Notamacropus eugenii: one gene and its partners. The protein of the gene in region 3 purifies or fractionates together with the protein of the main gene of each other region. This does not show direct contact. Links are inferred from orthologs where the notes say so. Each region holds a gene or a part of one and is shown on either strand. Other genes may lie near its edges. The genes, in order: POLR3G, POLR1E, POLR2F and POLR3F.

Region 1 (7,371 bases), on a different chromosome or scaffold from region 3:
TTGAACTGAAATTGTTCTTTCGAGGATTACTAGTGATTTCTTAGTTGCCAAATCGAGTGGCCTTTTTTCATTCCTCATTCTCTTTGACTTCTCTTCAGCCTTTGACATTAGATCACTCTCCCCTCCTTGATAATTCTTCCTGGGTTTGTAGGACATCCTTCCCTCGGAGTTCTCCTCCTACCCATCTGGCCACTCCTTCTGTTTCCTTCTCTGGATCTTCTTACAGATCAGCCCTTCAACTTGTGTCCCCTCAGTGTTTGGTCCTGGGCCCTCTTCTCTTCTCCAATTCTGCCTCACTTGGTGATCTCATCAGCTTCCAAGGATTTTAATGACTATCTCTATGCTAATAACTCTCAAATCTACCTATCCTGCCCCAAGCTCTTGGCTGACCTCCAATCTTGAATCTCCCTAGGCCTTTCATACATCTAGAATTGGATGTCCAGTTGATATCTTGAATTAAACATGTTCAAAACTGAACTCATTAACTTTCTCCCTAAACCCTTCCCGGTCCCTCACCTTCTGGATCACTGTTAAGGTCAACATCATCCCTCATATCCTAGGTGTTATTTTCACTCATATATCCTGTTAGCAAGGCCTATCAATTTCACCTTTTCACTATCTCCTGAACGCAGCCCTTCTCATCAATGACACTGCCACGACCAAAGTACAGGCCCTCATCACCTCAGATCTGGACCATTTTAATAGCCTGCTGGGTTTGCCTGCCTCATGTCTCTTCTCTCCAATCCATACTCCATTCAGACGCTAGTGATTTTCCTTAAGTGCAAGTCCAATCATATCACCTCCCCACTCAAAAAAAAAAACCCCAGTGACTCCTTATTGCCTTTGGGATCAAATAAAAAATACCTTTTTGGCATTCAAAGACCTTCATAATCTAAACCCTCCTACCTTTCGAGTCTTTGTATATCTTACTCCCCAACACACACTCTTTGATCCAATAGCACTGGCATCCTGGCTGTTCTGTAAACAAAACAGTCCATTTCTTGGTTTGGAGCATTTTCTCTGGCTGTCCCTAATACCTGGGACTCTCTCTTTCCAAAATTCCTACTACTGACCTTTCTAGCTTATTTGAAGTTCCAACTAAAATTCTTTCTTCTACTGGAAGCCTTCCTGACCCCTCTTATTTCTAGTGCCTTTCCTCTTAACAATTTCCTACTGTATGCTTACTTTTCATATATCTGCATGCTATCTCTCCCTAATTAGCCTGTAAGCTCCTAGGGGGCAAAGACTCTTTGCCTCAATTCCTATCCACAGTGCTTAGCACAAGTCTGGTACATAGTTGGGGCTTAATAAAGGTTTGTTGATAGATTGGTATTAGTTACCTATTATGTATAAAGCAGGCCAAAAAAAGAAAGGGAGGATGTCCTGCTCCCTAATCCATTCTAAACCTTTTCTTCCCTCCTCAAGTCTCTAATGATCTCCTATCCCCTCTACCTCAGCTGAGAACTTATAATATTCACTGAAAAAAATCGAGGCCACCATCTCACAACTTTCAGATGACCTCTCTTGTATTCTCCATCAAACTGTGAGCTACTGGAGAGCAGGCACTGGGTTTTTTGCCTTTCTTTTGCCACTTAGCACATGGCAGGCATATAGTAGGGGCTTAATAAATGCTTGCTGTCTTGACTTTCTAAAGGGGTATAAAATATGAACAGAAAGGTAAATACAAAATTTCCAGTCCACACCTCCATCATGACTAAAGTCATCCTAAGCAGTTTATAGCCTGATAATAGTATACTCTTCCTCAAACAGAGAGGCATGTTAGTATTTGTCTCCATAAAATAGAGTTCGTATAATTATCTTTTATGACTGCATATTGCAGACTTCAAGAAACTCTCAATCCTGGGAGGGCCCAAGAATGCTGTGTGGATAGAAGAGCTTTTCTGGCCAAAGTCAGCCTCAGGCCACAATCCTGGGAAATTTTCTAAATCTCCGTGGGTGTAGTCAACCAATAGGTGGGGAGGAGGGTAGGGAGAGCAGGTTAAAGGGAAAGTTCTTTTAGGAGGCTAACTGGGCCACACCCACCCTTTCCAGTCTTCCCCAATTCATCTTTTGCCAGCTATCTTCTCTTACTTTGCTCAGCCTCTTCCAGTTCCCATCCCCCTTGCCTTGCTTTTATTCCAACCATGAAAAAGTGTAAAAAATAGATCTTATTTTGTTTTAGAGCTTGGCAGCCCTCCTCACCTCATGCCACGGTTTAATGTGCTGACAGGTAAGTAAAGAGATACTAAATGTTCTACCCTTTGCTGCAAGCCTGCTGCAGTGACCAGTAATACCTAGGAGGGGAAATCCCTTCCCTACAGAAGGTTATGTCCATATAACGCGGTTAATGGCCCACAAAGTCCTCAGTAATGAGTAAATTACTTTCTAATCTCATAGCAGTCAGCCCAGCAAGGGGGACCCAGGTTACAATCAGATAAGAATCATTACAGAACATTTGGGGTTTAATGGGAACAGAAAGAGGCAGAGGGGTCCAAACTTCTTTCTGGCCGGGGGCTAGGTTTCAATTAACTTCTCCTAACCGAGAGCCCTTTCCTTAGGCTCCACATCAACTCCCCTTGCCCCTCAAGGTCCCCATCGCCTACCTCTCCTCCCTGGCCGGGCTTGGCTGGGGCTGCTTATGTTCTCAAACTCACAAGTGTGCCCACGAAGGCTGGCAGGCAAAGGGTGCTGGGTTACCTGTGCAGCCTCTCCCGGTCGCAGGGTTCCACCTCCAAGCAAACTGAACCCCTCCCTTCTCTGTTTCCCCTCCAGAGCAGCATTCAAATTCCAGCCGGCTGAGGCCTCTTGGCCCCGCCCCCAGGCCCGCCCCCTGCACAGCAAGCTTTTTCAGCCCTGGGCAGGCGCCCTGCCTGCTGCCCGAGCAGCCTCGCCCCCACCCTTTCCTGGCCGGCTTGGCGAGCCCTGGCAGGCGCGCTCGGCCCCCGCGAGCTTCGGGCACGCGCGCTCACACGCGTTCGCGCGGGACCTGTGGCTCTGCAGACGTCTCTCTCTCTGCCTCCCCCCTCCCTGCCGTTGCTGCAGTTGGACCCACCCCAGGGTGAGGAGGGTGGAGCGAGAAGGTGCCGCTGTGGGCGCTCGCCCTCCCTGCTGCAGTGGGCTCCGCGCTGCCATTGGAAGGCGCTGCCCCGCGACGCCCATTCGCGGGGGGCTCGGTCCAGGCTGCGGTTGCTGGCGCGTCCTTCCCACCTCCCCACCCCCGCCCCTCGCCCGCCCCTCCTCTTGGCCCTGGGCAGCGCAGCCTCTCCCGCGCCCAGCCCCCCTGGCCTGAGCCCCCGCCGAGCCCTCCTCCTCTCCAGACGGCGCCGACCGCCTGTGGGAGCTGCAGCTGTGTCCGCAGCCCGGAGAGAGGGAGAGGCCCCGCCGCACTGGTGTCTGCTCGCGCCCCTGCCCCCCGACTCCCGCACTCTCCCGCCTCACATCCCGGCCCCGGCATGTCGGCCCTGGAATGGTACGCGCACAAGTCCCTAGGCGACGGCATCTTCTGGATCCAGGAGCGCTTCTTCGAGTCGGGCAACCGCGCCAACATCTGGCTGGTGCGCGGCACGGAGCAGGACGTGGTGATCGACACCGGCCTGGGGCTTCGAAGCCTGCCCGAGTACCTGTACTCGGCCGGCCTCCTGCAGGACCCGGACAAAGGGGAGGACTTGGTGCGGCGGCCGCTGCTGGCCGTGGCCACCCACGTCCACTTCGATCACGCCGGTGGGCTCTACCAGTTTGACCAGGTAGCGGTGCACCGGGCCGAGGCGGACGCCCTGGCCCGCGGGGACAACTTTGAGACTGCGACCTGGCTGTCGGAGAGCGAAGTGGTGCGGGCTCCGAGCCCCGGCTGGAACGCCAGGCAGTTTCGGGTGCAAGCGGTGCAGCCCACCCACATCCTGCAGGAGGGTAATGGAGCGCTGGCCCCTCCGTGGGGAGAGGGGCGCCAAGGGAGGGGGAGGGTGCATGCGGCCTGGAAGAGCCCTGGTGAGCTTAACCAAACGGAGGGCGGGGGGGGGGGGGGTGTGTGTGAAAGAGAGGGAGATCCTTTGCCAAGTCACCCAAATGACACCTGTCTCCATTTCTTCCCTTGGAAGGAGAAAAGCTCCTTGGAGAGGCCCTTTGGGTTCCCGGGGCCCTGCAGAGGGGAGGGGAAAGCGCTCTGCTACAGTAGAGATACAATGTACTACTAGTGGAGTGGAAGACGCTCCGCCCCCTAATTAGTTTCCCTAGCCTGGTGCAGTGGGAATGCCACAGGCTGTGAGACTGAATTTCCTGAAAGATTTCCACCCACTCATTCCCATTCTGAGCACCTGTTTGACATTTCCAGTCACTTAAGGAAAAAAAAATTCTTTTCTCCTCAGCCTCTTCACGACATAGATCTCCCTCCCTCCTCTTTCAGACCCTACCTTGGAACCAAAAGACATAGCCACCGTTTGCAGCATTCCCCACCCTTAGTTTCCATTGCTACTCGAAAGGGAAATATTTTTATTTGCTTTCTAGGATCAACACAAGTTATTGCTTTTTTAATCGGAATTCTGATGCTTTTTAGTGTTATTTATTCACGTTCTTGTAGTCGTTGGCTAGGTTTCCTTGGTTCTTCATTCTGCCTCAGTTAATCCAAGTCTTCCCAGGTTATTCCTTATCTCCAAATGACATCCAGTTCTGACCCCATTTACCTTATGTCTGTTGAAAGAATAACTGTCTAAAAATCACCAGCACCGAAATGAGAGAGCCTAGGTTCAAATTCCACCTTTCATTGAGTGTGTGACCTTGAACAAATTAAAGCTCTTGAGCCTGAATGTTTTTTTAGGAGCACTAGATACCATTTAAGGGGACTTCCAGTCAGAAATTCTTAAGATGGGAGAAAAATTACAGCCTTATTTCAATATAATTCAATATAATTTGTAATCTTATGTATTTTATACCTTTAAAAACATTCTGAGAAAAGGGCCATAGGCTTTGTCAGACTGCCAAGGAGGAATACATCTACAAAACCCTTGCTTGCAGGTCTATACTAATGAGAATCTTATGATTTTCATTTTTCCTATCTGGGCCTGTGATTACATTTGTATGTGACTTCCTCCATCTCATATTTGGCTCTGCTTCTTTTTTGTAACTTGTTTTGCTAGGTACATTGAAGGGTTGAGTGACTTCCTCACCGACCCATAGTCACATTTGTCAAGGCAAAATTTGAACAGAAGTCTCTCCCCAAAGCCAGATCTCAGACCACTACACCAGAGTAATATTCCATTACATTCATATGCCACAATTTGTTTGGCCATTCCCCAATCTTTGGCCAGACGCTTTTGGCAGATTTGAGGGAATCAGGATAAAGCCCAGGGTCACGCAGCTAGTAAGTGGCTTGAGGTCTCATTTGAACTCAGGTCCTTCAAACTCCAGGGTGGGTGTTTGGTCCACTGTGCCTAGCTGCTCCTCTGGCACTGTTCTTAAATCCATATTCTCTCCCCGCCTCCTTCCCCCACCCCCAGATTCAGGAAGCCAGAAAAATAAAACCCTGTTACAAACATGTACAGTCAGGTAAAACAAATTCCCAAGTTGGCCATGTTCCCTCCCCCCCCCAAAACGTCTATCACATGTTTCATCCTGAGTCCTCTGGAATTGTAGTTGGGCCTTCTATTAATCATAGTTCCTCAGTCTTTTAAAATTATCACTATATCACTGTTACTGTATAAATTGTTCTCCTGGTTCTGCCCAATTCACTCAGAATCAATTCAGGCAGGTCTTTCCATGTTTCTCTGAAACCATGCCCTTTACCTTTTCTTATAGCATTATATTATTTCATCATATACATTTACCATAATTTTGTTAGTCATCACCCACTTGATGGGAACTCCTTCAGTTTCCAATTCTTTGTTGCCACAGAAAGAGCTGATATAAATATTTTTGTGCATATGAGTATTTTTTCTCCCTCTAATCTCTTTAGGGGTATAGAGCCTTTAGTGGTTTTGCTGAGCTGAAAGTCATAGATAATTTAATAATTTGGAGGGCATATTTCCAAATTGTTTTAGAATATGACTGGATTTCATAACCTATTTTCCCCAAAACCCTCTAGCATGTCATTTAACTTATTTGTCTACTGTATCAATACCGTGGGAATGAGATGGAATCCCAGAGTTACTTTAATTTGAATTTTTCTAATTATTAGTAATATAGAGAATTTTTTTTCATATGACTGTTGATAGCTTGGTTTTCTTCTTTTGAAAACTGCCTAGTAATATCCTTTGACCATTTATCAATTGAGGAATAGCTCTTATTCTTATAAATTTAAGTCAGTTCCCTATATATCTTAGAAATGAAGTCTATCAGAGAAACTTAGTTGCTCATTTATCTGCTTCTCTTCTAAGTTTGGCTGCATTGGTTTAATTTGTGCAAAACCTTTTTAATTTTATATAATTAAAATTATCAATTTTGTCCTGTGACCCCCTAATTTGGTCATGAACTCGTTCCTTATCCACAGAATTAACTAATGATTTCGTCTTTGCACCCCTAGTTTGGTGACCCTTTGACAGTAGTTTTAGTGACCTATGGCCCTTTGTCCAGCAAGCACTTTTAAATAAAAGAGATACTCCATGACTTACATCAAATGGAGCATCCTTAATGCCAAGTTAACTATTTTTTTTGACGATCTCTCCTATCATCAACTCAGTCCATGTCATTATTAATTACCACATGGATCTTTAGATCATTCTAATTCTAATTATTCTAATTCATCATTCTAGAGAGCAATGATTGAAAACTATTTTCAGAATATAAAAAACGATATTTTCTGAAGAGATTTTTGCCTTTCTTGTTGACTCAAAGAAGACCTTGGATTGTGAGAATAGGAAACTAATAGAAGTGGGATGGAATGATCATTTAACCTACCCAAATTCAACTCCACAATTCCACTAGACCTACTAGCCAAAAAAAAAACCAACAATGGGGGTGGGGGTGGGAGGTGCGGGGAGTGGGGGGTGGGGTGGAAATAACAATTTAAATGGTGCCAGTTCTGGTCACTACTAAATGCAAGTAGCCTGTACCCATGAATGTATGTGAGATGGGGAGCTAATCCTTAAACTGGTCTCAATATGTGGAAGCACTGGGTATGATTCTAGAACCTTCTCTCGATCATGCCTACAAAATGGTAGAGCTAATAGCAGGAAATGACAGCCTTAGTTGGCTGTGTACCTTTTTACTTTATTGTGTCCACTCTTGACTGGTGGGGAAGCAAGAGTAGAAAACCATTGTCATTCAAATGATTTTTTTTTTTTTTGGTAAAGTCTTTTCAAGGATAGTTTTTCCTTAATTATCAGTTTTCAAACTAAGACTCTACCTGTTTCGTTGTCTTCCTTTGAATGGAAGTTCTGACTA
Region 2 (7,872 bases), about 22 Mb from region 3:
ATTGATACCAATCTTCCCATACTTCTGTGTATTAGCTATTTGCAGCAATCTTTTTGTGCTAAAAACGGAAACAGAGTAGACACCTACATAAAGAGAGTGACTGAACAAAGTGTATATGAATGTAATGGAATAATAGTGTGCTGTAAGAAATAATGATTTTGAAGAAGTCAGAGGAACTTGGGAAAACAGCATGGAACAGTGGATAGGACAACGAACTCAGTTAAGAAAGGCGGGTTCAAATCCCACCTTAGACACTTATTCTATCTGACTCTACCTACCCTCTTTATACCTCAGTTTCCTTATCTGCACAAGGGGGTTAAACATGATGGCTGTTAAGGTTTTCTTATGGGTCTAAATCTATGACCCTATAACTTGAAGAAAGCCAAGAGAACAATTTAGATGATGACCACGGTAACATAAAGGAAAGCACCCCTAAAGACATCAGAACTCTTCTTCCTCGTAGCAGAGAGGGGATGGGCTACAGATCTGGATGCAGAACCAGGCGTCTGTAATCAAGGACTGAGAACTGGAAGGGAACTGCTTCATCCAACCCTCTCATTTCATAGAGAGGTGGACTTGCCCAGAATCATAGTGGTAATAAGTGACAGGGCTGGAATGTGAACCCAAGGCTTTTAAAATGCTGCACTTTTTCCATAGTGTGTGCCTGATTTGTTGATCTGATTTGTTTAACTATACTTGTTAGTGGAAAGATAAATCATTGAAAAGTGAAACATATCAAAAGCATCAACAAAATATTTATTTTTAAAATATCTGGGGATGAATGTAAAATTTTTAAAAAATCCTGTAGTACAGGATTGGAGAGCTGTGGATAAATAACAATTTCTACGAACGAGGCATCTGCTGACTACAACCTCAATTATGTCAATAACATATGACATGGTTACAATAAAAGGATCTTAGACTGTATTAACAGAAGTTAATAATCTCACTATAGTCTGTATTGATCAGAGCATGTTTGGAATTTAACTTCATTCAGTTCCAGGCAAACACTGTATGAGGGACACTGACAAACGAAAGTACATTGAGAAGGGGGGCAGAGACAATGATCAAAGAACAAAGTTATGAAAATCAACTGAAGGAACTGAAGATACTGAATTGGGGGAAAGACAGGGAAATAAGAGCTGTCTTCAATATGTGAAGGACTTTCATGTGAAAAGGGACTAAGATTCACTCTCCTTGGCCCCTGAGCAGAACCAGGACCACAGGACACAGGCAGGTTTCAGTTCAAGTAAAGACCCCTGCTAGTTTTCTTTAAAGCTCAGCTCAGAAGCCACTTCCACAGGGCCTTTCTTGCTCTTCAGATGTTGGGGCATCCTCTCTCACCCCCCAAATGACTACGAACACACTTATATGCGTACACGAGGTCTCCTCTGACGGTATTTAGTGCCTTCTAAAATCAGAGGCTGCTTCACTTTTACCTCTGCACCCCTAGCACCCAGCAGACCCAAGCACAGCATGTACCTGACTGGGACTTAAACAGCTTAGGAGCATTTTAATCAGCTCTGCCCGGTCCCCATGAGGCAAAGCTGTTCTCATTCTGGGTCAGCGCCCGCTTCCAGGCACACACCACCTTGTAAAAAAAGACAAAACTACTGAGGGACTCACCAAAATCCTCCTGAACTTCTTCCTGGGGTTGGTGGTGTCTTTGCTCTTGTACAAGGAAAAATTCACATTCTCAGCGTTGTGGAGTTTCCCATTGGAAAACTGAACTGCAATAAATGCACAGAAAATGATCAACGAAGTGGCGCTGAATGCAGAGTGGACTTCTAAAAGAGTTCCATTAATGTAATTAATAAAAACAGGAAAGCCCTTCAATCCCCAGTTCTGGGCTACAGTATCTACGAACGTCACAGAAAGCGAATCCTACCAGACCCTTCCTATGTGAGAGGTAACAAGAGAGGACGCTGGCTTTGGCTACAGAGTGAGAAGAGGATGGAGACCAAGGACTAGGGGCAAGCACAGTCATTTTAGAATATTTCCCTGGGTCCTGAGGGAGAGACCGAGGGAAGTCTGGGGACAAACAAGTGCTCTGATGGAGGACAGCTAGACAGGAGAAAGGCCAGCCAGCGCATGGGGACTAAGGGCAGGAGGGGGCACTGCAGGGGGCATCGGGTCACACGGACCCCCGAGGACAGCCTCCCTGACCGGCGCGCGGACAGACTGTAAGGCACGACCTGAAGGAGCTGTAGGTGTACTGTGCGTTTTACAGAGACGGTGTATCCACAGTGAGAAGGGGGGTGGAGAGGGAAGAGAGTTGCCCGTACGCAAACACTGGTGCATCTGCCGGGTGCGCTGAGACGGGCCCCGGGAGAGCTTCTGATGCCCGATGAAGTGGGGAGTGGGCTGTGCTCGTCCTTCGTGGCCTGACCCGCCCTTGACCCTGCTCTGAGGGGGAGGGCCGGCCGCTCACCAGCCTCACCCCCTCCACAGCCGTCCGGGCCGGTGGGCTGGTCATCCTCAGGACGCCTGGAGCCGGCCCGGCATGCACCGGGAGGCCCTGCCCTTTCACGAAGGCCCTTCGGCGGCTTGTCCGGGCGCTCGAGGCCCTCACCACCCAGCGCCTCCTGGACATGTAGGGAGCACGGAGGCCGGCGCTGGGCGAGAGCTGGTCTAAGTCATGCCTCTGGCACTACAAGCGCCGGTCCCGACGCGGGCGCGCACGGTCCTCACAGCCCCTAAGGGAGGGGGTAAAGCTGCTCTGCCGCCCCCGGCCTTACCCAGAGCAGCCTTCTGCCCTTCGCCCGGCTCCCCGCAGTACTGCCACGTTGCAAACGCAGACATGGCCGGAGCAGATCCCCCGGAACCCACGGCCACGGCTCGGTCCGCGCTCCACGGAGCTCACATGTGGAGCTTCCAGTCACCAAGCTCCCCAATCCCGCTTCCACCGGAAGAGGCGGGGCCGCGGGGCCGGAAGAACCGCCCTACCCGGGCCTTCCCCAATCCCCGCCTCCTGAAGACCTGTCGATTTAGCCTCCGCTTCTCAGCTGATTGGTTGTCTCCTCAGAAGCACCGCCTCCTAACGCCTACTGGCTGGTCTCTCCTCAATCCAGCTTCCTACGGCTGTCCGGTTCAGTCCCTCCTCCCAAGCCCCGCCCATTGAAGCCTCGGGTTCGTCATCGCCCTCTAAGCTCCGCCCCCTGAAGCCGTCGGCTCCTCCCCTTGTCCAAGCTAGTGGCTGGGCGGTCCGAGCGTCTTCGCACGCCTGGTCCGGGTCTGTTAGCTTCCACCTGCCTCAGTTTCCCTATCTGTATAATGTGGATGATAACAATAGCGTCTAGTGCTTCCTAAATGCTCCTTCTTCTTACCAGTCCCCCATGCCTCCAACACACCGTGAGCTGGAGCTGATGACAGCCCAGGTGAAGGCTGGAGCTCCTATGAGGACCATGAGGATCACTGGGGGCTGCGGACTCAATGGGCAAACAGCATCTGTCCAAGGTGCTGACAGTGATGGGGACCTCCTGACTGCAGGTCCGTACCCCCTCTGCTCTCAGGAGGGGCTGGGCAAAAATCCACTTGGTGACTTTTCAGCGTGAGCTTCACTTTCTTGTCTGGTTAGAAAAAACAAAACAAAGTGTCTTAAACAAATCACTCAGGACAGGGGTGGGAGGAGTGGAAGAAACAAATTAAATCATTCCTAAGAACGGGTGGATCAGAGAATGAATCCAAGAAACAACAGGCAATTTCATCAGAGAGAATGACAGGAACAAAAGGTTTGGGATGTAACTAAAGCAGGACTCCATAGTAAATTTATATCTAAGTCCAAAAATTAAGGAAAGACAAAGCATAGGTTGGTAAGGGGACGACTGAAAAGTAAAGAGCTAAATAACAAAGCAAATCCTGAAAATCAAAGAGCTGAACAACATGGAAAGAAGAAAAACCACCAAACCGATCGATGAAATTAGGAGCTGTTTGTAATAATAATTACAAAGTTAACTAGTTCCATTTGAAAAGAAAAAACAAAGTGCCAGCATCAAAAATGAAAAGAATTTATAAAAAATTAAGATAAAGGAAGCTATCAAAGTATTTTGTCCAATTATGGGGTCAACAGACAAATTAAATAGAAAACATTTATTAAAAAATTTAAATACTCGTTAAAAGAAGGTAACCAAGAACTTAACACATCAGAAAAAATAAATTGGACAAGCCATAAATGAACTCAAGAAACTCCTCCCGTTACTATATGTATTTACAAGTGAATTGTATCAAACATTCAAAGAATAGTTAATTCCTGTATTATATAATGTTTTTTGCAAAAAAATTGGAAATCACGTTTACTACCAAACTTTTTCTATTATTACTAATATAGTCTTGATACCTAAATCAAGAAGAGACAAAAAAGAGAGAAAACGATATAGGCTAATATCCTTAACAAATATTGATACAAAATATTAAATAAAATATCAAAGAGGCTACAATAGTATATTAAATAGATTAGATACTTGTCCAAGTTAGATTTATACCATGACTATAGGGGAGGTTCAATATTAGGAATAACATAGTTTATAATAGCTCGTATAAATAAAAATTAGTTATACCAATATGTTCTGAGAAAGTTTTTGACAAAATTCAAAGTCTATTAAAGAACAAACAGCCTCACGTATTAAAAATCACAGAAATAAATGTATCTTTCCTTAAGATAGCAAATAGTTTCTTATGTAAAACAAAGAGCCAACATTATAAGTAGTGAAGAAATTCGATAGTCCTTTACAAATAAGATCAGAGGTAAAGCACAAATGTCCAGAGACAACACTGTCATTTAATAGAGTGTCAGAAATGCTAACTATAGTGAAAACAAGAAAAAGAAATTGAGGGAAGGAACCTAGACAAATAAGAAGTTTTTGCAGAGGTATGATGCTCTATTTAGAGAACTCTAAAAGAATCAAATAAAACATTAATTGAAACAGTAATATTTTCTTGTACACCTGGCTCTGAGTGATAGGAGAGTGAGGGACACAGGAAGAAAGTGTCTGACAGTAAGCCCCAAGGGCCCTTTTCTTACAAGGTCCAAATCCAGTGGCTTTCTCTCAAACTTCTCAACTTCCTTACGGTATTTGACAATACTCACCAGCCTCTCCCAGTAAACACTCTCTCCTCTCTCAAGGTTTCTGGTACTACTCTCTCTTGCTTTTCCTCCTATCTTTTTGACTATTTCTTCTCCACTTTCTTTTCTGTATAACACTCCTTAACTATGATACTATCCTGCATTTTCTCTTTTTTCTCTGTACTTTCTCACTTGGTGACCTCATCACTGCCATGAATTTAATTATCATTTCTGTGCAGATGATTTTTATTTTTAAAATATATTTTTATTTTGTTACGCCTCCCAATTACATTTAAGATTTTAAATGTTTCTTTTACAAATACATTTTATTTCATTAAATATTTCTCAATTGCATACACAAAAATTTTGACATTCATTTTTAAAAATTTTGAGTTCTGAATTCTCTATCCCTTGAGAAAGTAAGCAATATGTTATTGATCATACATGTGAAGTCATGCAAAACATATTTCCACATTAGCCACATTGGGGAAAAAACCATACCAAAAGACAAATGAAGTGGAAAAAGGTATGCTTCAACTTATGCAGATGATTTTTAAATCTATATCCAGCACTAATCTCTTTTCTGATCTTTAAGTTGTGCATCTTTGGTTACTTATGGGAAATTTCAAACTGGCTATCCTGCAGGTATCTCAAATTCAACAAATTCCAATGAAGCTGATTCTCTTCCTCCCCCATCCCAACCACTACTCTCGGAACATCCTTATTTCTGTCAAAGGCACTATTATCTTCCCCATTAGAATGTGAGTTCCTTGAGAGCAGGAACTATCTTCCTTTTTCTGTTTCTATCCCCAGTACTTAGTGAGGTGCTTTACACATAGTAAGCATTTAACAAATGCTTATTCATTCATTGTGTCACCCAAGGTCACAACCTCAGTGCTGTCTTCCAGTTCTTACTCTCTCCACTTTATATCCAATCATTTGCCAAAATTTCTGGTTTTTACTTTCACTACATTTCTCACTTCTGTCACTTTATTTTTACTGGGGCACTGGTTCAGATTCTTGTCAACTCTTGACTGGACTATTGCAATCAACTCCATGTTGGTCTACCAGCCTCAAGCCTCTTAACCTCTCTGATCTAGCCTCTGTTCAGCTGTCAAAGTGATTTTCCTCCAGCAGGCAACTGATCATGTTACTCCTTTACTCCACAAACTTCAGGGACCTCTTATCACTTCTGAGATTAGATATAAATTTCTGTTTAGCTTTTAAAACCCTTCACAACCTGACCCCAACCTAGCTCTCCCGAATTATAATACATTACTCTCCTCATACACTCCCTCATTTCAGTCATACTCCTCCTCCAGGCCTGGAATATACTCCTTCCTCACCTCCACTTTAAAGAATATCTTGTTTCCTTCAAAAATCAACTCAAGAAGGACCTTCTACATTATACGTTTCTGATCCTCCCAACTGCTGGTATCCTTCCCAAAATTATCTTGTATTTAATTTTTATACATTTTATGCCACAGGGATTATTTGCTCTGGTTCTGTGGAAACAGACATATACTGTGACCTCTTGCTTTGCTTAAGATTGATGCATTAATTCCTTATTGGTTCCTATGACCGAGGATCATGTGAAAGAGGACTGAGAGATAAGCCAGGAAGAGCTACTCACTCTCTGGGCTAAAGGATACACGAGGAGAGGTGGCTTCCATTGAAGATAGGGAATTGGCAGAAGTTTCTTATGGAAACACAGGTTGGACAAAGGATCTCTAATGACTTCTTCCTTAACCCCATTGGTGGAACTCTTTTGTGGAGCTCCCAGGTTCTAAACCTATTGTGTAAGGTCCAATTATAAGATAATTGCTAGGTAAAAAGGGAGAGAAAAAAACAACAAAGAACAAAATCACACTGTTTCATATAAAAAAAATTGCTGCGGCCTGGCTCAATGAAACCTCACTCCAGATCAAACTTCGGATGCTGAGTTCCTGACCTAACCAGCCCTCTCCTCAAGGCTTTTATTGGGGCCTCTTCCTACAGTTGATGCCTCAATTACTTTCCATCATTTGCATAAAATTCTTTTTGATATTATGTTGTGACTCATTGCCTTCGAGTTCTCATGATTGCTGAACTCAGGTCCTTTGTAGTCAACAGCTTCAAATCCTTTTAAAAGGGACTTCTTTGCTGGAACACAACCAATTGCCAGCTCTCCCTTAGATTTCAGGAGCTAGGAAGAAGGAACGACCTTAAAAGTGGTTATGGTGGTATAACAAACATGCAACAAAGAATATGCTTGTCTGTGATTTTGAGATTGGATCTGGCTGTCTCTTCTGATTTCTGCTTTTTTTCCCTGATCACCAAATAGTGATATTAAGAGATGGATATTTCTAACTTCTTCATGAGTTTTAGAGTTTCATAATCCTTGATTTAGGTGTTCTGTTTTGTTGCTCAGAGGTAAATGATTTCCCCAGGTACATCCTTCTTAGAGGACATGCCCACAACATTGCCCTGGCTGGCCAGAATATCTGTGATTTAGTGCGGACAAAGAAACAAAGTTATTTAGTAGTTTCACAATTCTCCAAGGAATCTTCTCTACCGCCTAAGAGTATCAGATAGTGGTGATATGATATGTTATAGTTTATATTTGTCAACCTCTAATTTGTGTCTGGCCAGAGCCAAACAGAGTAGGCTAGGGATACGAAAGTCAAGAATCAAACAGAAGTTTAATTTCAAAGTGAGGGAAATGGCTTGCTAGCAAAGAGGCAGATTAGATACGTGTAAGGTCCCCATCCATAGTGGGGGGGACCCAAGGCTACACAGTGACCTATAGCCTTGACCATGAGGGGTAACAA
Region 3 (7,514 bases):
TCCTGGAGGGCACGGGGGACTATTCTGTGTCTCTGGTGCTTAGCAGTGATTTGTGCAAAGGAAGAGCTTAGGAAATGCCTCACTCACTGATTCGTTCATTCATTCCTACCACTTAGGTTCTGACAAAGACAGACTTCCCTTTGTTCCTCATTCTCATCTCGCCCCTGCCTTAGGAAGTACCTTCCTTCCAGGCCCCAATGAAACCTTCCAGGGGAAAGCCATCTCTTCCTCAACCAATTTATCCTCCTGGTTTTTCCTTGCATCTCTACTATGCACTAATATCATTTATACCAGTTCTCTGTGTACTTGTTTCACTTAGACCATAGGCTTTTTTCATTCATTAACCCTTCACTCAATAACCATTTGTTAAATGCCTAGTACATGGCCTCAAGGCTGCAGGCCTAGCAGGTGGAAGCACTATGCTGGGCACTAGAGACATGAAGGCACATGTCCCTGAATCAAAGACTCAGAGCTGGGAGGGGCCTTTCAGGTCACCTTGTCCAGTCTCATTTAACATATGAGGAAGCTGAGACCAGAGAAATGAAATGACTTACTTCAAGTCAAAGTGAGCCCTGGGCCTTTGACTTCTAGGTGACTTTGGCAGTTGGTGGTGCAGTGGACAGAACATAGGGCTGAGTACAACCTTAGACACTTACTAGCTGTGTGACCCTGGGCAAGTCACTTTCCTATCTGCCTCAGTTTTCTCATCTGTCAAATGAACTGGAGAAGGAAATGACAAACCGCTCCAGTACCTTTGCTAAGAAAACCCCAAATGGAGTCATGAAGAGTCAGACATGACTGAAACAACTAAACAACAACAAAACTTTGGACTTCAACTCTGTGTCAATTTCCTAAGATCTCCTTAGTGGAGAAAGTCCTCTGACAAAGGCAGATTGCAACCCATTAACAGCTCAGTTGTCATCGAGAGGACAGCATAGCTAGAAGCAACAGGGCTGGACAAGGGCCACGAGGGATGCATTTGAAGCCAAGGCTTCCTGACTCTCAAACTCATTTTAGCTCCTGTACTCTTAATGTCAGTTGAACTGAGATGTCAATGGGGTGGGAGTGGGGTGGGGGATGAGTAGGGAAAGGGGGATTTCTACTTACGCAATCTGCAGGGCCCGGGTGCCCAGGACCCGGGCTCGCTCGTACTTGGTCATGTAAGGGGTGGTGATCCTTTTCTGGTTTGCCTGCTGCCGTTCCCCAGAGGGAAGGATCTCCACATTCTCCTGGCCCTCCTAGGAAAAGAGGGAGAGGAGAGTGGGAAATTTCCTTGTGGGTGTAAAAGGTCAAAGGCTCAGACCTAGAGGCTCCTGGCAACTTCAACCAGAGATCATGGGGAAGTAAGACTTCGAATACCCCCAACAGAGGGCTCAGTCCATTTTCCAAGTGGAATAAACCACAGAGGTGACAAGTTTGGAGGAAGAAAAGCTTAAAAAGATTTTGGCTTCCAGACCAAAATTTTACTGAATGGCCACAAGACTGGTCAAATGGAAATGTACTTCTTGTCGTGAAACCCCCGGCCAGCTGCCACATCCCGAAACCAGGGAAGAGGCTGGTCTTCCAAAGTAACTCTGTCCTAGATCTGTCCCTTCCACGACGCTTCACCTGCAAGAAGGGACTGAGAGCCCCAGCAGCCAAGGACAAAGGATGGCATGAAAAGCCTGCAGCTGGCTTGTCTGCACACAGGGCTGCTGGTTTACAGTGGGGGGGGGGAGGCGGGGGGGGGGGGGGGGGGGCTGTTCCACTCTATGCTCAGTGACCTTTGTGGTTCCAGGGTTCCAGGTGAGAAGAAGAGCCATGAACTAGAACGATACTATGCTCTGCACCCAGGTGATTGGCACCCAGGTGACTGGCACCCAGCCCTGGCCTCAGTTGTGCTGTGGCAGTAAGAGCCATGGGAGAAGTACAGACCTCCTCAGGATTCTCCAAGTCATCTAGACCCTCATCTTCCTCCACGTCATCAAAGTCATCACCATCGTAACTGTACAGGAAGAAAGCACCAGTGAACCTGGGTGCTCGGAGAGGGCCAAATACCCTCCCCCATCTCCCCCAATTCTAGCCTGGATCTGCTGGGGCAGTGGAAAAGAAGGCTGCATTTGGAGGTGGAGAAGCTCCCACTGTAAAAAGAGGGAGCTGGATGAAGTGACCGCCCCCTCCCCCCCCCCCCCCCCCCCCCGGGCCTTATCTGTCCCCATGTGGCTTCAGGATCCTCAAGGTGCTAGACTCATACCCCAAGTGCACATCACTATCCTCCAGTACCTGCCAGGGTGTGTGCGCCAGGCACCTAAGAAGACAGAGACAGAGACCAGACGGTCCTTGCCCTCATTCTACAAGAGGAGACAAAAGAGGCCTCACACCAGAAGCCACGGAGTCCAACATCGGAGGGGCACAGGCCAGTGCTAATGCGGGTGGGGGGGCGGGGGGAGACCTGCCCAAGATCATCTAGGGGTCAGGATCCGGGACAAGACGCGAAGCCAGGCTTTTCTGACCCTAGGCCATAATGCCTCTGTGATTGCACCTCTTTTCATCCTACCTTCCAATGCTGAGCCCCCATTTCTCAGTCTCCCTTCCATCCCCCTCCTTCCATCCCCCTCCCCTCCCCCCATCCTCGGGCCGCTCTATCTGCCCCTTCTCCGCACTCACTTGTCCTCGTTGTCAGACATGCCTGCGGAGCCTTGGGCTCGGGCCCAGTGGCCGCCTTGGCCAGGAAGAGCTGTCTCCCAGCAGAACCTTCTTCACGGAACCCGACGAGCCCAAGCCACCCGGTCTGGCCTCCTGCACTGCTCGGGCTCGCGCCACTGAGACCAAACTCACGACTTCCAGCACCCACTTCCGGACCGGCCCTACCAGAATTCCCTGCGCCTGCGCGGTGACCTTAGCATATGAGCAAGTTCCGGTAATAGGCCAAGGGGCGGAACCTCGAGCTCTTGGGGCGAAGAAGGGCAGAGAGAGGGCAGGGGGTGGAGCCTGACGCCAAAAAGGGGCGTGGGCCTGCCGTTGTCATGGCAAAGAGGAGCCGGATAGCCCCGAGCAGGGCGCGCGGCGGTTCCCCCGGTAGCCAGAGGCGGAGACGGAAGCAGAGTGGGGAGCTCTTGGGAAGAGGAGACCGAGACCGATCCGGTGCAGTGACATAGCCGAACCAGGAGGGGAGGGAGAGCCAGAACAGAGGACCTGGAGGCGGGGCCTAGAGGAGCCGGAGGCGGATACGGAAGCGCTGGGGGAAGGGGCGGGGCTTGAGGGGAGATGGCTAGGCCATGCATAGGAGATGCCAGGGGCGGGGCCCAGAATGTTCGTGAAGGGGCGGAGCCTGAAGCGAGGGAGGGGAGCCTAGAGCCTGGGCGGTTGCCATGGCAGCGTAGGCGGGACCAGGGGCCCGGGAAGCTCGGACCGGGCTGAGGGCGGGGCCTTCGCAGCCGTTGCCATGGTAGCCGGAGGCGGCCGCTGCTCGGAGCCCCATGGACCCGTTGGGGAGAGCGGAGCGGTCCGGAGCCCGTCCCTGGGGGAGAGGGGAAGCCCAGGGCGGGTGGCCGCGGGGGGCTTGTCACGTGGCACCTCCCCGACAAGGGCGGCCTGTCGCGATCGTCCCAGCACCACAGGGGGCGAGTTCCGCCCTTTGTGTCGCCGAGGGCCGGCCGCAGCGATCGCCTCTCCTCGTCGCCGCCGGTGCAGCCTGAGCCCCCCGCTCGGGCGTCCCCGGAGGGCAGGAGATGATTCCCATCAGGCCTGGCCTGGGTAGAGCTGAGGCTGGACTGCTCGGGGTCAGAAGAAGCCCAGAGTTGCAAGGACCTCCTGACCACCGAGGCCACCCCCCGGCCCCCCTCTAGGAATCCCCCATCCCTGTGTCCTGCTCAGGACGATTTCTGCCCTAGGAAGTAGCGAGCTCCCTGTCCCTGGAGGTCTTCAAGAAGTCCACGTTTGGGGGAGACTTCTTCCCATTCTAGACCAATGACACCATGGTCTCCTCCCACCCGATCCTCCAGCCTTCTATTTCCAGCGAGAGGGAACCCTTCTCCTTTTTGAATAGCTCTAATTGTTAGACGTCAAGCCTAAATCTGCACCCATGACTCCTGTTTGTCAGACTGCCCTCCGAGGCTGAGCAGAACCACACATCCGTCCGTAGAATGACCCTGCTAATGGCATTGCCCTCTCCCAAGACCTGCTTCCACCCATCACCAGACCTGAAATCTCTTCACTGCTCAATGGCTCATTTTAAACAAGTCATCCTTCTCCCCAAGCCTGTTTCTTAGAAGAGATCCCCTTCAGCTCTCAACATTCTGGGAAGGCTAGTCCTAAAAACCTTTCTTTTCCACCTGTAGGGTTTTGCCATGGCAGCAAAGGGGAAATCAGGAGCTGTGGCCAAAGGTACTGGCTTCTGGCACTCACGGCAATCCAGCTACACCCCAGAAACCTGTCAGCTGCTGAAAGGTCAGTGGAGGGACAGCCCTGAAGGAAGGGCTGATCAGGACAGGGCCCCAGGAGGGCTAGAAGCCCAGTGGCTCTTATATCACCTGCTTGTTTTGCAGTGATGATGGAGGAGTCCAAACTCACCAGCTTCCAGCAGCGACAGCTCATGGATTCGATGAAAAGTAATTTGAAGCCTTGATCCTCCTCCTGCCCTTTCAACACTCTCCTCACGCCTTAACTAGAATGGCACAGTAATGGCTGTATAGCTGATTAGGCACTTCTCCCATAGTGTCTAGAGATTCCTTTGGGATGTAATGTGTCATCTGTGTATGGCTCATTTTCCATATCTATAAACTAGTCTTGGTCTTTTGGGGAGGATGGTGCAGATTCCATCTTCCTTCCATGAAAATCACTGGCCTAGTTGAACTGAGACATTTGGGAGAGCAATCTTGAGGGTGCTCACTTCTGTTGGCCTTAACTTTTTCAGTAAAATGGGAGATGGGTCCTCTGTTGAATGTTGCAGGAGGGTTAACTTGAAAAGGGAGAGAAGATGGGACTGGACCTCAGAAGTCATCCAACTCTGGAATTCTGTGGGACACATTCCATTCCAAGACAGTTCTCCACAATCTGGCCTGAACCTGACTGTCCAAACTTTTTTCCCACTGCCCCCCTCTGGGGAATTCTCCTCCACAGCCAAATAGGCTCCCCTTACATTCCATGGACATTCCTCTTCACCTCCCAAGTCTTTGTACCACTTCCCTTATCCAATTTAAGACTATCCATATCCCACCTTTTCAGTAAAATTTTTCCAGCCTAGGCTGTAGCCTTGGTCTCTCTTCTTCCTCTTTACCAATTGGTACCAATTACCTGGACCATTCCTAAGGCCCTAGCCTTACAGGGACTGGACCTGTAATTTCTTTGATAGACTTCTCAGGTGAGGACACTCCCTCTACTTCCTCTGCAACCTTAGGGAGCTGTTGAAATCACAGAGAGGGTCACCCAGTCAGGATGTCAGTTGTTACTATCCCAAACTACCCCACTAGGCCTTGCTTCCTGTCCTGTGCCACTACCAGGATTACAGATGTAGAGTTGGGACCTCTGGGAGCATCCATTCCAGCCCCAGTAAGAAGCCAGGATCTGAGTTGGGGTCCTCTGTCTCCAAAGTTGCTACTTCTGACATCCTTCCTTACCAGACTTTGATGGCCAGGCTCCTTCATGGTCTTGTCATGATAGATGTCTGTCTTTGGTATCTGTGAATCCCCCCCTTCCCTCTGCTCAAGCTCAGTGACACTGGGTCCCTGATTCTTCCAGCCCACAGTTATGGAGGGCATGCTCAAAGAAGCTCCCAACCTAGGTGCTAGAAGCAGGATATAAAGACGTCTACATAGCTCTGCCCTCTGGGAGCTTCCAAACTAGTAGAGGGACACAGTTAAACAGGATGGACATCAGTTTAAATGCATTAAGGAGTTGCATAGTTTAATGAACTCTACAAGGCAGAAGGGTGTTACTTCCAGGGACTCCCTGCAAAAGCCCATGACTTGGGTCTTGGAGCTGCCTGCTAGCTGGAGGCTCTGGGGAATAGCAAAGGCCCCGGGGCAGGGGGCATTCTTGCATATCTTTCCATCTGGATGCTCTCCCTTCCTAAACCCTTAGTAGAGATCATTCCTTGGGCTCCCTGGCCCTTCCTCCACATCCTCCTCCTGCCCCCAGCCTCATCTCCTCTGCTGACCTGGACAGGACTTTACACTGGTGCATATCTGCCACTGGAAGTCAATCATCTCTGTTGAACAGATAGGGAAACTGAGGCTCAGGGGAGTAGGCTAGGAAGTGGCTGGCCATAGGCAGGACTCCTGGTACCTGGGTCTTGGACTTCTTTCTGTTCTGGTCTCTCCCCAGGAGGCGAAGCGCTGCCCTCTTACTGCAACCCAGTATCTAGCCAGAAGCCAATGCCCAAACGAATCAACAGCCTGTGTCTGCCTCCCATCTTGGCCCCAAGGCCCCATCTCCGCCCTGCTGAAGTCTGCCAGGCCACTGAGGCCTACACCCGAGACCAGTTCAAGCCAAGACCTTGTCGTAAGTCTTGAAGCCCTGGGCTTCAGAATAAGGAGATGAGGCACTGCCAACCTCTGCCCTAGCCATGGGCACAATTGAGGACAGATACTGAGACAGGGCAATTTCCTTGAGTTTGCAAGATTCTCCTTAAAATGAACCAGAGAACTGGGCAAGATCTCCCATTCCAACATGTGCAGCAAATGCCTTTTGGAATGAGTGACGCAGGAGGGGAAAGGGGAAAACAAAATCCACAAAACTTATGTGTCCCAAGGAGATTTATTGGGATACAGTGGTAAGATGAGCAGGGCCTGAAGGTGAGGCCAGAGCAACTCTCCTCCCTCCTCACCTCACCTCAGCAAGGCAGAGGCTGTCAGTCATCCTTCCTTCCTCCCTCCCTGAGCCTTGTTCTGAGAGTGGGTCTCCCATGTGAAGCTCTGCTCCTGTCTACATCACCAAAGCATCACCTGGCTCTTTGGCACCACTCACTGCCCTATCTGTGCCTCCCCCCTTCTTCCAGAGAGAAAGATGCCCCAAGGGAGCCTGGGTACGGATGCCCATTTAGTCCAAGGATGTGTGCTATTCTCCCATCCATCTCTCACACTTGGATCCTGCAGGAGATATAGAGAAGGAGAAGGAGCGGCTCCAAAACATATTTGCCAATGGGAAAGAAGGCATTGAGAAAAAGAAAAAGAAGCCATCTGTTCGGCAGGCTGAGCTTCTGCCCTCAGACCCGGAGCCAGATAGATTTGAAGAATGTAAGGCACTATGAGTATGCCTGGGGCCCACGAGGGTATTCCAACCTTGCTCCTGGGCCACCTCAAGCAAGGCACAGCCCATCTCTGTCACACAAGTGGCTTCCAAGGTCCCTTCCTGCTCTGAGCCTTGGCACCTTTGGCCAACTGTGATATCACAGGCCAGGGCAGGGGAGAGAAGGGATTCTCGGGCCTGGGGAGAATCCAGCCTTTCCTATTTCAGGCAGGAGGGATGAACAGGATTGGAGAGTTTCCTGTGTGTGAATGAGTTTTCTCTCCTCTTCAGTGGTGAAGGAAGTCCAT
Region 4 (7,874 bases), on a different chromosome or scaffold from region 3:
TTATATGTCAGGCACTGGTTTAGGCAATGAGAAAATAAAAAATCAAAGTTTTTACTCTCAAAGAAGGAACTTAAATTCTATTTCATCACCTATTGCCCACTGGAACTTTCAAACTGTATATACAATAAGCATTTCAATACTTCCCAAATTCAACTCTCTATTTAACTTTCCTGTTTTTGATACGGGCACAATCATACATCCAGTCACTCAAATTCATAAACTGAGAATCATCCTCCGTCACTCTCTCTCTTCTTACATATAAAATCAATTACTTTCTCATTCTCCCTCATCCCACAGCTACTATATCCAATCAAGTCTTGTCAATTCTTTCACTAAAACATCTTTTATATCTGTCCCCTTCTATACACCCAAACCATAGTTCAGGCTCTGATCATCTCTTGCCTGGACTACTGAAACAATTAATCTAGCCTCTGATGTTTACCAGCTATGTGATCCTGGGCAAATTACTTAAACTCTCCCTGTCTCAGTTTCCTCATTTATAAAATGGAGATATGAATAGCTGTGAGGATCAAAGCCGTAAAGCACTATATAAATGCTAACCATTGTTGTAATTTCCTTTTGTCTCGGATTTCTCCCTCTTTTCAGTTCTCTACACAGCTAAAACACAAATCTGACCACATCCCTCCCCTGCTCAAGAAGCTTTAGTGGCTCTCTACAATCTATGGAATAAAATACAAACTCCTTTGTTTGACATTTAAAGGCCTTCACAGCCTGGTCCCAACATACCTTTTCATAAATATTACCCTTTATTCCTTTCTACCACAGTATCATCTTAACTCCTCACTTTTTCTCGGTCCTCATAGCCACTGAGTTGTTAAATCCTGTTAATCTAACTTTTAAAATATCTCTTAGGTGTCCTTCTCTCCTGACACTTCCAAAATCCTCTTGCAGGCCCTCATCACCTCATCCATAGATTATGAAAATAGCTACTGGTAGGCCTTAACAAGTATCTCCCCACTCCAGTTTATCCTCCGTTCAGCTATCAAACTATATTCCTGAAGTGCAAGTCTGACCATGTTACTTCCCTACTTAATAAACTCCAGTGGTTCCTAAATACCTCCAGGATCAAATATAAAATCCTCTGTTTGGGTTCAAAGTCCTTTATAACCTTCCCCTGACACACACACCTTTCCAGTCTTCTTCCCCTGTACATTCTTCTCACAATATATACTCTACAACCCAGTGATAGTGATCTTCTTGCTTTTCCTCACACATCCTCACACAAATTCTAACTCCAGTCATTTTCACTGGCTGTCCTCGATGCCTGGAAGGCTCTTCTTCCTATTTCTGCCTCCCTGCTTCCCTTTCACTTTCTTCAAGAAGCTTTCTTGATCCTCATTAATCTTAGTGCCATCCCTCTGAGATTATCTCCATTTTACCCTGCATATATTTTGTTTGCATAATGTTTCAGACTACAAGTTTCTTGAGAGAAGACGGGTTTTTTTGCCTTTCTTTGTATCTCCTAGAACAGTGCCTGACACATAGTAGCCACTTAATGATGCTTGCTGATTTGACCTTCTTAATAAAATCTCCTTCCTCCAAACTGTTTAGTGAATGAACAAAAAAAGCACTTATTAGGCATTTCCTATGTATTATGTGCTTCACTGAGTACTGAGAATACAAAGATCAAAGAGAAATAATTCAAATCCTCAAAGAACATCCATTCTAATAGGAAGAAACAAAGCATATATGAGAGTGGAGGTTAGGTAAGAACAGTTTGGCCCAGAAGTACAAGAGTAGTGAGGGTATTAACTGGACTCTTAAAATGAGATTGTCTTTCCAAAAGCAATTAAAGTATTGATCTGATTGCTGTTCCTAGAGTAAGAGGTAGGAAGAGTGCACGATGGAAAGCAAAGGGCAGCAGCATGAATGGAAGATTAATAGGGAGAAAGTACGGTCAGGGGCATGGGGTCAACTAAATACGATGAGCTTTCACCAGTCAGGGCATTAAGGACCAAAGGTAATAGTTCCAAGTGTCTTTCCTCTCCATATATGTATTTTGTATGTGCTTATATACGTATACGTTGTTTCCCTCCATAGAAGCATAGTTGAAACTGTTTCACTTCTGTCCTTGTATCCCCAGCTCTTAGGTGGGGAATTGACAGGTATGTTTACTGACAGAATAATTAATAAAACGTTATGAATGTCCTTAGGTTACAGTAAAGACCTTTACCTAAGCCCTGTGACGCTTATCTTTTTAAATATATTGATAATCACACAGCAACATAATTATAATTTTGTAATAACTATATAACTTTGTAATCCTATGTTATTTTGTTTTATCCGTTTAAAAAAATAACATTTTAAGAAGAGATTCACAGGTTTGACAGAAAAAAAATTTAAGAATCCCTGGGTAGAGCCTGAGGTCTTAGGTTCCATTCTGCATTCCTTAACTCTGATACTTCCTCACACTAGACCACAGACATAGTCCAATTATCACCACTAGTAGAATGATTTTCAAAGCACGTTTTTACGTCATTTCATGAATGAATGAAAAAGCCTTGAAGCACTTACTATGCGCCCAGCACTGTCACCTCAGTCTACACGTGTAGCTTTAGTTAACTATCTAGACTGTAACAAAAACAAGCTAAGTGATTTAGAGTTCGTTTGCAAACTTCCCGAAATCAATTCGAATTGACCCAGACACAAAGACTGGTAAAGGTTAGGAGGGGCCGAAGCCCTCGGGACAGTCTCTCTCACCCCTCCCCAGGACCTTTCACTCCCCAAGACCCCACGCGAATCCCAAGGAGGAGGGCCCGGGAGGAGGCGGGGGGCTGGTGGAGAGGAGAACGCAAACTATAGATCATTCATTCCCAGCGTCTCCTTTTTACCTGTTTTCTATTTCCACTGGGTCTGCATCAGGCGGCTGTGCCTTCACTTTTACCTCAGCCATGATTCAGCCGGGGGTGAGAAAGCAGGAGCTAGCTCGAACCTCCAGCAGCCTCCCCCGGGCCTCCGCCCCCACCTGGGCAGAAAGGGGCCTTTTTCTCTGAGTCGCATCTCAGCCAAGGACCCTCTTTGAGCTGTCTAAGTCACGCCGGTCCCGTTTGACAATTGGGTGCTGCGTGGTTCGTGCACAGAGTTAACTATTTAAAGTATTTCTCCACACATTCAACGGACTCATTGCTTTCCTTGTCCCCTTAGGCTCTCCTCTTCAATATTTCCCTTCCATAGATCAGGCGAATATTGAAACGCCTAAGACGCTTCTTGAGTTAGAGGTAGGAAGAGAACTAGCAGGATTCTCTGAACGGCTTGGAAGGGGCGGAGCCAGTTGCTAGGAAGCTAGATTTGAACCAATCAAAATAGTCTCCTCGGTTTTGGCTGGTGCTGAAGCGTCTCTGGTAACTGGAGTCCTCAGGACCCGCCAGGTGAGGAGCGGCCGGAAACTGGGGTCAGTCTAGGCGGGCACAGGACACCCCAGGGGAGGACAGCAGGATGGCAACACCCGGGAAGCATCTGGTCTGAATGAATGGGGGGACCCCCTTACCTGGTGGGAACACCTGCGTTTGGGCATGACCTTGGGCATGACCACGACCGAGTTTGGCCCGCCGGCTTCGGGTGTCTGACCCCTATCCTTCCCGCGGCTCCCCGGACTTTCTCTGCGTCCCTGGGGCACATCCCCGAGCACCTGCGCGGACGGCCCCGGGATGCCTGCTGCTGCCAAGCTGGCGTGGGAGAGAGGAGGGCCCGCTGCTGGGGCCTCCGCAGCCGTGTAGAGCCGCCTGCCCGAGGCCCGTCCTGCGTGTGCTTCGGCGGGCGCTTTTAGACCTTTTGGGGGTTCCCCTCGCTCTCGAGGATTTCCCTGCAAAGTCACTGCTGCTGCAGAAAGCTTATGCACGTGTGTAATTGTGGGGAACAGTTTCCACCCCGTCTCCCCCCCCACAGTAGACATATATAAATATATATATTGTGGGGAGCAATTTTCCCCCTAAATCGTTGCTAATGCAGGAAGCTTTGTATATGTGTGTATAAATGTATGTGTGTGGATGTGTGTGTATACATATGTATATATATATATATATATATATATACACACCTCTGTACACATAGATGTGTGTTTGTGTATATAATTATGGGGAACAATTTCCCCACGAAATCACAGCTAATACAGCAAGCTTGTGTGTGTGTGTGTGTGTGTGTGTTTGTCCTTCTTTGCTGAAGAAGACCATGCCGTCAGAGAAATAATGACATGACTTGCACGTGACTTTGACACACATAACAGATGTATATATTTATATATGCACACATATAACTTGTGTATATGTATATACACACACATAGCAAGTGTATTTTGTTGTTGTTCAGGTGTTCAGTTATGTCGGACTTTACTGTGACTCCCATGTACTTTGTGGTATTTTCTTGGCAAAAATACTGGAGTGGTTTGCCATAGGGAACTGAGGTAAACAGGGGTTGAGTGGCTTGCTCAGGGTCGCCCAGCTTGTCTGAGTGTCTGAGGCCGGATTTAAGCTCAGGTCTTTCTGACTCCTGCTCCAGTGCTTCATTGCACTACTAATACTTGTACCCTGACTGTTAAATATGGTATCTGCCTGAAGGGACAATGGAGGAGGCAAAGGCATAGCCAACAACACTAAAATATCTTTGTGGAGTTTTGGAGCCCAGATGTAAAGGCTTCATTTTTGGGAAAACCAGACTTGTTCATCATCCACCATTATGAGCTAGAGTGTTCGTTGCAGGTTAGTGTGTGGTGAGTGGTGTGTTTGTATAATATATGTGTGTGTGTGTGTTTTATTGTTGTTCAATCATTTTCAGTTGTGTATGACTTCATGACCCCATTTGGGGTTTTCTTGGCAAAAATACTGGAGTGATTTGCCATTTCTTTCTCTGGCTCATTTTACAGATGAGGAAATTGAGGCTGACAGGGTTAAGTGACTTGCCCCCAGGGTCCTCTAGCTAGTAATTGTCTGAGGCCAGATTTGAACTCAGGAAGAAGAGTCTTTCTGACTGCAGGTCTGGCACTCTATATACTGCACCGTCTAGCTGCCCTCTGTATATGTATATATGTGTATACATACATAAATACATACGTATGCACACACATATATCACAGCTACTGCATATGTATAGATATATACGTATATAGTGTATATACGTATATATATGTGTATATAGAGAGAGTGTCTATATATGTGTGTATCATAGATAAGTATATACATATAGCTAGTGTATCTGAATAAATACATTTCATAGCAAAGTGTATATCCACATATATCATGGCAAGTGTATATGCTTATATATGTATATACATATCATAATGAGGTTAATTGAATGATATTTTACACCCAACCTGATAAAGAGGCAAAGAAGGTGCAAACACTGTGAGTTTCTTCCAAGGTGCTTCTAGAACAAGGGTTCTTAACCTAGAATCTAAAAACCCCTCCAAGGCACCCTCTAAGGATCCACAAATGGATTTCCTGGAGCCTGTGAATTTGGGTGGGAAAATAAATTACATCTTTATTTTTACCAACCTCTAACGGAAATGTATTGTGTACTTCAATTGTGAATGTAGACAACAATAATATTCTGAGAAGGGGTCCACAAGCTTCACTAGACAGCCAAAGGGATCCATGACACACAAAAAGTTAAGAACCTTTGTATTAGAAGGAAGAAAATATCTTGCTCCAAGTTTGTAGTTTTAATCTGAAGTGAGATATAATTCAGTCCTCGAAGGAAAAGGACATGTGTTGGAATATTTTCCACATTAGACCACATTTTGAATCATACAACTGACCAAGAGGTCTCTGTTTTTTGGTTAGTCATTACAGAAAAGGATTTGGTGAAGAGACTGAAATGTATACTTAAATGTGTATTCAATGCCTCCAATATTGTCTTCCACAAATATGTTAAGATCATACTAGATTTCTTTAATGTTTTTTTTATATCATAGGGAGGATGAGATTTGTGATTTCATTGGTATAAGGAACTTCTGGTGAAGACTATCCCTCTACCAGTGCATAGGATTCCTTTTTAGATTTAATACAATTAACCCAATATTTTGTTGCCCACCAGACCTAACAATAGGGAACAGAAACTATGGGCTGGTGAACTGTCAGGTAGAGTTGAGGAGAGAGGAACTAAGAAGATTGAGAACTTGTGTGGTGCATTAAGGTTTGCAAAGTGCAAAGTGTTATCTCATTTGATCTTCATAACAATCCTGTAAAGTAGGTACTATTATTATCTCCATTTAATGGATGATGAAACTGAAACTGAAAGATTTTAAGTGACTTTCCCAGAGTCACATAGCTAATCAAAGTCTGGAGTAGGACTCAAGCTCAGGTTTATCCACTGGACCGCCTAGCTGCCTCAGAAGGAACAGATCAATACTGTACAATAAAATACAATCAGTGCGTATAATACTAGCACTTTTAACACTGGCTCAGGCAGTGGAAAATGCTTTCTCACTTTTCCAGATAGATATCTTTGATCTACCACTGCTTTCCCATTCTATCTCATATATGTCAATTTTAAATGAATCTTATATGTATAAAAATATTAGAGGAAGAAATCCATCCATCTCTTAACCTCAAACCATACCCTGAAATCTATTTCTGTTGGCATAGTACTAATCAGACAACATGTATTTATTGCACCAGGCTCTGTGCTAGGCCTAGGGATATAGGCATAGATTAACACAAAAAGAAGAAAACAACCCCTCCCCTTAAGGAGCCCTTCTATTGAAAGAGTCAGCATGTATACATATCAATATAATAATAATAGCTAGCGTTTACGTTTAGTTTTAAAGTTTGTAAAGTGATTTACAAATTTTAACTCATTTGATCCTCACAACAAATTTTATCCCCATTTTATAGCCCAAGAAGTTTAAAAATGTAGAAATTAAATGATTTGACCAGGGTCATATAGCTAGTAAGCATCTAAGACGAGATATGAATTTAGGTTTATCCTGACTCCAGGTCTGGGGCTACAATGTATACAAAATAGTTGGTGGGGAAGAGGTGTTAGCACCTAGAAGAGTTAGAAAATGCTTCTTCTAGGAGGTTGTACTTGAACTGAGCTTTAAAAGAAGCTAGGGATTCTAAAGAGATAGAAGTGACATTCCAGACGTGGAGGGGAGGGGCATGTCTGTGCAAAGGTGTAAAAGAAGGAGATAAAATTTTGCATGCAGAGAATACCAAATAGACCTTTTGGGCTAGACTGTGTAATGAGATGGGAAAGGTAGAGTGAGATAGTGATTAATTCTCTAAGGTTAACTTGTATATGATCACAAAAAATCCAGGAAGAAGCTTATACTTTTAGTTAATTACAAAATAGCTCTTTAGAAAGTGGCCCTATTTAGCTAAAGAGATTTAGACATTATTTACATTTATCCTCAATACCTTATGGTGGAGGTGAGCGCTCTGGTTTGTCCCCCATTACTTATTTAGGAGAAAAGATTATGCTGTAGCCATTCCTAAATGTTCTCTTCAACTGCTGAAAGGCAGGAAGGGTAAGATCAAGATGGCACTGGTAGAAAGGAGACAGAAAGAGCTTCCTTCAAGGAGTTAGTCCTTCTAGGAAGCTCTGAAGAGTGTGATACAGATTTTTTGGTTGTCTGGATTGTTGGACTGGCAGAAACCTCGTGTGTGTGTGTGTGTGTGTGTGTGTGTGTGTGTGTGTGTGTGTGTGTGTAAGCCATATTTGTAGAAAATACAGGCTCAGAGATGTATTGGCTATAATGTGATAATTAACAAGTCATTTAACTTCTCAGTACCTCAAACAATTCTCTAATATTACAAATTTCAGATTGGTTGGATCTACATGGTGGAGGGAGTTTCATCATCAGGAGTTCCGTTCCCTACACCAATAAAATCAGTCAATAAACATTTATTAAGTACCTA

What was found.
Region 1: the proteins of POLR2F (region 3) and POLR3G purify together in Homo sapiens (affinity purification with mass spectrometry; 3 studies listed by BioGRID and IntAct, with this or other methods). This does not show direct contact. The link is inferred for Notamacropus eugenii from reciprocal best matches to the Homo sapiens genes POLR2F and POLR3G.
Region 2: the proteins of POLR2F (region 3) and POLR1E purify together in Homo sapiens (affinity purification with mass spectrometry; 4 studies listed by BioGRID and IntAct, with this or other methods). This does not show direct contact. The link is inferred for Notamacropus eugenii from reciprocal best matches to the Homo sapiens genes POLR2F and POLR1E.
Region 4: the proteins of POLR2F (region 3) and POLR3F purify together in Homo sapiens (affinity purification with mass spectrometry; 4 studies listed by BioGRID and IntAct, with this or other methods). This does not show direct contact. The link is inferred for Notamacropus eugenii from reciprocal best matches to the Homo sapiens genes POLR2F and POLR3F.

Annotation. Positions count from the first base shown.
Region 1 is NC_092875.1:450,149,643-450,157,013, forward strand, and holds the start of POLR3G (DNA-directed RNA polymerase III subunit RPC7), read right to left. Parts: upstream 3,014-7,371; 5' UTR 2,781-3,013; coding exon 2,698-2,780; exon of another isoform or gene 2,604-2,697; intron 1-2,603. Other genes in the region: acyl-coenzyme A thioesterase MBLAC2, read left to right, coding at 3,453-3,906. UniProt on the Homo sapiens protein: DNA-dependent RNA polymerase catalyzes the transcription of DNA into RNA using the four ribonucleoside triphosphates as substrates.
Region 2 is NC_092874.1:316,992,077-316,999,948, forward strand, and holds the start of POLR1E (DNA-directed RNA polymerase I subunit RPA49), read right to left. Parts: upstream 3,012-7,872; 5' UTR 2,803-3,011; coding exon 2,739-2,802; intron 1,731-2,738; coding exon 1,627-1,730; intron 1-1,626. UniProt on the Homo sapiens protein: Component of RNA polymerase I (Pol I), a DNA-dependent RNA polymerase which synthesizes ribosomal RNA precursors using the four ribonucleoside triphosphates as substrates.
Region 3 is NC_092874.1:295,434,398-295,441,911, reverse strand, and holds the start of POLR2F (DNA-directed RNA polymerases I, II, and III subunit RPABC2), read right to left. Parts: upstream 3,010-7,514; 5' UTR 2,667-3,009; coding exon 2,647-2,666; intron 1,985-2,646; coding exon 1,915-1,984; intron 1,239-1,914; coding exon 1,108-1,238; intron 1-1,107. Other genes in the region: C3H22orf23 (UPF0193 protein EVG1), read left to right, coding at 3,425-3,484, 4,320-4,428, 4,527-4,589, 6,304-6,480, 7,074-7,214, 7,498-7,514. UniProt on the Homo sapiens protein: DNA-dependent RNA polymerase catalyzes the transcription of DNA into RNA using the four ribonucleoside triphosphates as substrates.
Region 4 is NC_092872.1:593,327,986-593,335,859, reverse strand, and holds the start of POLR3F (DNA-directed RNA polymerase III subunit RPC6), read right to left. Parts: upstream 3,014-7,874; 5' UTR 2,915-3,013; coding exon 2,853-2,914; intron 1-2,852. UniProt on the Homo sapiens protein: DNA-dependent RNA polymerase catalyzes the transcription of DNA into RNA using the four ribonucleoside triphosphates as substrates.